2 linked regions of the Saccharomyces cerevisiae S288C genome follow. The main gene of each other region encodes a partner of the protein of the gene in region 2 in a complex. Each region holds a gene or a part of one and is shown on either strand. Other genes may lie near its edges.

Region 1 (3,580 bases), on a different chromosome or scaffold from region 2:
AGCTTTTACGTTAACGATAGTGATATTAATGCACTTCGTTTTTTCAAAGACGGGATGTCGATTGTTGCAGGAAGTGACAATGGTGCGATAAATATGTATGATTTAAGGTCGGACTGTTCTATTGCTACTTTTTCTCTTTTTCGAGGTTATGAAGAACGTACCCCTACCCCTACTTATATGGCAGCTAACATGGAGTACAATACCGCGCAATCGCCACAAACTTTAAAATCAACAAGCTCAAGCTATCTAGACAACCAAGGCGTTGTTTCTTTAGATTTTAGTGCATCTGGAAGATTGATGTACTCATGCTATACAGACATTGGTTGTGTTGTGTGGGATGTATTAAAAGGAGAGATTGTTGGAAAATTAGAAGGTCATGGTGGCAGAGTCACTGGTGTGCGCTCGAGTCCAGATGGGTTAGCTGTATGTACAGGTTCATGGGACTCAACCATGAAAATATGGTCTCCAGGTTATCAATAGCTTCGAATTGGAAATACTGTGAGCAGTAATTATCAATGGATGCTATTATATAAATATACATACCTACACCCATCCCATATTTACATAGAATAACAACAGTAACATTAGTTCTGTGGAAGCGCAAAAACGTCCTTTAATAAAGTAAGTCAAAACATTCAACAATGAAAATTCAAAGCATTGTCATTTGCTTCCTTTTTCTCTTTGGATAAACGAAACAAAAACGAACAAAAGTGTCATGCACTCAAAAATTCTTTTCAATCGTTTTGGAAACAGTATTATTCACTGACTTATTTGACCAACTTGCTAGAATCATCTATGTTTTCAGGCATTGTTTAATTTCATGATGGCTGTCCCTACTTTAGCTTGTTATGAGCCTTCACTGGCTCGTCCTTATGTATTGCGTCTGACCCAAAATTTGTCCTTTCTTGTTTAGTGGAATTTTTGTTCGGTAATTTCAAAAATGCCTGAATTTTCATTAACAAATCATCTGGTAGTTGTGTTATAAACATAAAAAACTGCTCCCTTCTGGGATGATTTTCAATTGCTCTCTGTACTGCAGGATCATTCAATATCATCTGAACCACGTCCGTCATCATATCCTCATCTATAAGCGCAAGGCTTTTAATCCAGGGCAAATCGGCTATACGAAGAGACATTTCTTCCTCCGGAGACACTACTTTCCACGGGAGATCAAAATATTTAGATAGTTCACTATTGAGATGTGAGAATTCATGAGGCACATCAACGGTATAGTCAACTGCATATGCATCATCTTCAAACGTTAAGTCATGTTCAATGCTAAACTTTCCAGCGTTACCTATAAAAAAGCATTCTATTTTTAAGTTAAACTCTCCCCAACCGGTTTCCTTGATAAAAAATGGCAGCGAGTTCAGTCGTCTTTTGGGCTGTTTGAAGCTAGAGTGCAAATGGTAGATGCATTTAGAGAGGATGGTAGGCTCCACTTCCTTTCCTGTTGCATCTAACATGAGGAGTTCCATCTGCCACCGACGTAAGGGAAGTTCATTTCCCCGGATGTTTTGTTCCGGTATTATAACCTGTTGTGTTTTTACTCTGAAAGTGACTTCTATTGAATGATCCATAAAAGAGCGTCTATTATATGGCACCAAAAAAAAAAAAAAGGGCTTTTGGAGTCAAGAGTAAAAACAATTTAGTCTGTAGAAAAACTTGAGTTGCTGCACTTCCTCTTCACCCGAACATGGCTGTTCTAGTTTGTTGTCGTGCAACTCTCTAATGGTGATGACTTATTGATGTGGCTTTGATTTTTTCTTGCCCGTGTAACGCGACCGCGCCAGCTGTAAACGTCACTAAATAATACCATTAATTGGTCATTTGCTTATATGTTATATAAATGCTTTCTCTATCAAAACTTTGATTATATGACTGCCGAACTTTAAGGGTGAAGTAACAAGTACAGACCAAATAGAAAAGATAAGATTCCCATCGACGGCATTAAGGAGGATGATGAATTTTCGTATCCCCCAATAGTTGTAATATTTCCCGGGGTGATTGTTGGGAAAATCTCAACGCTGGTAACACCCGTGGATAAAGCTAAACTTGTCGTACTAGATAAATAAGAAATGGTGCTCGTTAATGTTGCAGTACTTGTCGGCATTTCACTATTATTGATGATGCTCATATTAGTTACTAAAATATCTTCATACGCGTAAATTTTCGGTTTCGGAATCTCTTCAAATACCTCGTCTGCCCCGACTTTCTTCTGTATGCTGTCTTCCATAATTTCATGTAGAATACTTTCAATTTGAGAAAACTTTTTGTGCTCCACTATTGTTAGAGGATCTTCCAACAGAAAATCTATAACAGATTTGGAAGCAAGGACCGTATCGGTATGTTCTTGAGAATCAACAGCTCGCGGCTCCTCCGGTAAATCTGCTAATACTAAGTATGGATTAAACTCCATTTGATTTAGCAGAGCTGGTGGTAATGAGTTTTTATCCAAATGGAAAACTAAAGGACCAGGTTCATTTTGTCCTGTTTCATCTTCTTCATACTCATCTGATGTAAAAGTAATTGAGTATTTGGTAGCAAACACTTGTGCCATAAAAAAGGCGAAGAAAAGGGAGGATAGATATAATCCTAACATTTCAATAAGGATCAAAAAAGAGAATGGGATACAAAACTTTACTTTCCTTCCTTTCGTGCTAGTTACTGGCTTGGTGTTGTTCTTTAGTTATGTGTAGCAATGTTAGCTGCTGGTTTTTTGTCTTGGATAACTACAAATACTTTCAGGAAAAGAATAATTTATACATTATACAAAAGCGGCCTCTTTTATAAACAAAGGGCAAATGACAGTTAGCAAGACATATCATGGTTGCCATGGGACACAAAAACGTAGCCACAAAAAAAAAAAAAAAGGTGAAAGGAAGCGAGCATTAATTTTTTATTTTAATATGTAACTGTGATATGTATTAACAAAGTATCTTTCATAATTTTTGACGAATATTTTTACTTCTTTTTTACTATTGAAGGTTGGGCTGTGATTCATCGCGCAGAAAACAAGGACCTCATTTGAAAATTTCCTTGAATTGCTTAACAATGCTATTTTTGATGGCAGTTGGAGATGTCTTCCATTCTGTTGGCAATGACTTCCAGTCGATTTCTCCCATGATTTCCTTAATTTGAACTTTTTTTTCACCTGCCTTTGTTTTGAGGGCGTCCAGTAATTTCTTCACATTTTGATCAATATCAAGCTCTGAAGACACTGGCAATTGGTCCATATATTTCTTTATAATGTCCATTTCACCTTGCTCTTTGGCCACCAGATCGTCCCTCTTGTTAGCAAGGAACTCATTGATCGAGTCCTTTCTTTGAGATATTAACTTGGAGTACATGTCGTACAGGGAGTACTCATCAGCGCTCTTCCCTTTTAAAGCAATTTCTTTGTTTTTTATGGCAGATAACATATTTCTGATTGCTGTCTTCTTCATCTCATCCTTGGCAATCATAGCCTTTTTCAAATCTCCTTTCAATAGGCTGACTGCAGCCGTGTAGGCTGGAGAACTGTTATAACGAATGAAGGTTAGTCTATTTGAAACAAGTGGCCTAATTGATTGTCTGAACA
Region 2 (3,592 bases):
CAAAGAAACGAAAAGGGAAGCTTTGTATAACCACGACTTGAGTTTTGCGAATCCGGACATCTACTGCTAAGTATGGACACTCGTGTCTATAGATAGTATCAGGCCAAAGTTGTATAGCGGTATCTTTTTTTGAATAAATTTCAATGTGTTTTCCTCTGTTTAACCTCCCACTTTCTTTGATGCTCAAGAGCAATAACTTTATCGCAAAATAACAAAACTTTAATATGTGTTGTAATTTTGGCTAAACCCAGTTCAACATCACCACAAAAGAAGGTTTCCTTTATGCCCTTACCCTTTCTGCCTTCTTATTCTAGAATTTGTTTTGATGCTGTATTTGTTTGGTCCTTGTTCGTCATCGAAAAACCGGCCCAAAAACGGCTAATAAAAACGTGAACCTGTTTTAAGTCTTTTGCTATAAAAGATATTTATACTCTAAAAAAAGGGAAACTTTTGCAGCAAAACAAATTTTATGCATTAGTTCTCTGTTCTTAACTTGGTCAGACAAAATTCGTCCGTTTGTAGTTGTCTGTACAGGAATTCATCGAGCGATATTCTATCCTGAAATACATATGCCATTAAGTTACATCCTGAATAGATTCCTAGTCATCTATCAGCAAATATTCATCTTTTAATTTGAACCAATTCCGTTTTGTTCCATGTAGTTTCAACCAGCTATTCAATGACTGCAAGTAAATTTGGTTATTCTCCCCAATACAGTTCAAGTGCTTCAAGGTCAAAATAACATCATTGACTCTCATTCCAGTCACGATGGAAAGATCCTCCAGGGTCACTTTATCATAATGGGCGAGGTCACCTTCAATAAGGTGCCAACAGAGTATCTGTGACCAATATTTCAAGTACCCGATTAGTCCAAAAGGTGATAACGGTACTTCTGGCCCTGATATTACACCTTCTAATTGGGATAGTTTGTATGAAAACTCGATAAGTAAAAGGCCTAATCCACGTCGTTGATATGGGGGAAATATCAAGATGCACGCTAGATTATTTTGCTGATATGACACTAAATCTTTCGAAAAGAATCCCATCGGCTTTGTTGATCCAGTTTCATAAACTATGTAAAATTCATAATGATCTACTTTGAAATACATGGATTTATTGTCCAGATATAGCTTAGTGAAAAGACAAAGACATTGGCAAAAGAGTTGATACTTGGATCCTTTTACTCTTCTTATTGTATATTCAGGACTCTTGTATTTTATTTTGCCTGGAACACGATATTGAAATGGACAACTTGCAACATGTCCTACAAACCGCGTCTGATCATCCGTGTATTTGAAGCAGTATTCACAAACGAAAAGAGTGTCTAGCCAGTATTGGCTGTTAGAAACAGAGGAAAGCTGACCCTTGGTCTCGGAGCACCCTAGCCTTTTTGTTTCAGGATCGAAATAAACGGCGCTCCCATACCAAGTAGAGAATTTTTTATTCAGTCCAAACTGAATCTGTCTTATGTTCCTTTCGTTCAGTATTCCATATAGCATCTCTTTTTGAGTTTTTTTAATTTTTGCTGAGGGCTTATTCTTGCCTTTTCCACCATTCTTCTTTCCTTTTAGCTTCTGGGTAGTCGCTGTGAGTGATTGACTTAAAGATCTTGCCATTTTTTTTGCGAGTGAAAACAAAAAGCAACTAGAAAATAGGAGCCTCCAATATCAAAAAATCAAACTTCAATTTAACAGATTCTTAGAGCGCTACATACTCTATCCAGTTCGATATGGACAAGACTTAATGATTTCATCATCTCTTCTGATTAACGATTCTGTTATTCTTCATATTTACGCGCCTAACATATCATGATGATTGGGTGTTCCGAAAATTTTCATTGGCGATGAGCTGAGTATTGAAAGCTCATTATAGTATTAGTATATTATTGTTAATAGCAAGTGCTATATGCTATAAAAATGCAATTACAACCCAATACTAATAATAGAGTGTCTTAAGAAATATAAGTATGGGTACTTACAGAAAAAGGTTTAATGAAAAAGCCAGATCCGGCCATATGGCCAAATTAAAAGAACTGAAAAGAATTAGGAATAAGCAGTTCACTAGACAGGATGAAAACGATGAAAGAGTAGAAAACCCAGATTCAGCTCCCGCTGAGAGTTCTACTACGGAGCCAAATGCCAATGCGGAAATTCTTGAACCTCTCACTGAAGAAGAAAAGAAAATGAAGAAAAGAAAACTACAGGAGTTATTTACCCCAAAGGAATCGAAAGTTTCGAGATTGAAGAAGAAAAGACTGGATAAATTTATTGAACATCAATTAAAAAGAGAGGAAAGAAAGACAATTATTGGTAAACTTCAAGATTATAAGATAGATACAAGTTTGTTGACAAGCTCTAAAAGGTTAGGAGAGGGCAGGCAGACTAAAAAGGAAGAATTCAAAGAAGCACTGAGTTTAGAACGTCAAGGAAGAGGAAATGAACAAACAAATGAAATATTATACGAAGAATATGAACCAAAAGTTTGGGATGAGTATGGTGAAGGAGGGAGCTCTGAGGATGATGACGGCGAAGATGATTTCGAGGCTTCATTTGGTAGTATGCCGAAACCAACGGACAATGAGGAGAAGAAATCATCAGGTTTTATTGATCATAGACCAGCAAAATTTGGTGGATCTGGTCTTAGCTTTGGGTTTAGCAATATAAAAGTCATAAACAAAGAAAGCAAAACTCCGAAGAAGAAATATAATTGGAGACAACGAGTAGAAATGGAAGAATTGAAGAAGCATGGGAAAGAAGATGAAATGGATTTCGACACGACATCTGAAGATGATGACGAAGAGGAGGATCAGGAAGAAGAAGACAAAATGCATCCTAGTGAAAACCCACTCGAAGAAGTTGAAAGCGCAGATAGTGAAACTGGCTCAGAAAAATTTGACCAAAATGATGTTGCTAACGAATTCAAGGATTGGGCCAATCAAGAAATAAAAAAATTGGAAGGTAGAGATCAAGAGCTAGTTACTCCCACTTTGAACATCGATTATAAACCGATAATTAGAAAGGAAGATTTAGATGATGGTCTCCAAGAAGCTTATGTTCCAATAAACGAGAATTCCACCCGTAAAGCCTTCTATGTTGAAGTTAGCAGATCAGATGAAATTCAGAAAGCAAGAATTCAACTACCAGTATTTGGTGAAGAACACAAAATTATGGAGGCTATTCACCATAATGATGTAGTGATTATTTGTGGTGAAACGGGGTCAGGTAAGACTACACAAGTCCCACAATTTTTATATGAGGCTGGGTTTGGTGCCGAAGATTCTCCAGATTACCCAGGAATGGTGGGTATCACTCAACCAAGAAGAGTGGCCGCTGTGTCCATGGCTGAACGTGTAGCTAATGAATTGGGGGACCATGGTCATAAAGTAGGATACCAAATTAGGTTTGACTCTACCGCAAAGGAGGACACAAAGGTCAAGTTTATGACAGATGGTGTCTTGCTACGAGAAATGATGCACGATTTCAAGTTGACTAAATATTCCTCCATTATCATAGATGAAGCACATGAAAGAAACATTAACACTGATATTTTGATCGGTATGCTTAGCCGTTGTGTTCGGTTAAGAGCTAAACTA

Evidence for each region.
Region 1: SAS2 (region 2) and SAS5 share a complex: the UniProt entries of both Saccharomyces cerevisiae proteins name them as parts of the SAS complex.

What each region holds. Positions count from the first base shown.
Region 1 is NC_001147.6:743,702-747,281, forward strand, and holds SAS5 (Sas5p), read right to left. Parts: upstream 1,581-3,580; coding exon 834-1,580; downstream 1-833. Other genes in the region: STE4 (G protein subunit beta), read left to right, coding at 1-480; SPR2 (Spr2p), read right to left, coding at 1,892-2,602; AIM41 (Aim41p), read right to left, coding at 3,024-3,580. UniProt on the Saccharomyces cerevisiae protein: Component of the SAS complex, a multiprotein complex that acetylates 'Lys-16' of histone H4 and 'Lys-14' of histone H3. The SAS complex is however unable to acetylate nucleosomal histones.
Region 2 is NC_001145.3:521,730-525,321, forward strand, and holds SAS2 (histone acetyltransferase), read right to left. Parts: upstream 1,617-3,592; coding exon 600-1,616; downstream 1-599. Other genes in the region: DLT1 (Dlt1p), read right to left, coding at 1-60; ATP-dependent RNA helicase ECM16, read left to right, coding at 1,967-3,592. UniProt on the Saccharomyces cerevisiae protein: Histone acetyltransferase (HAT) subunit of the SAS complex, a multiprotein complex that acetylates 'Lys-16' of histone H4 and 'Lys-14' of histone H3. The SAS complex is however unable to acetylate nucleosomal histones.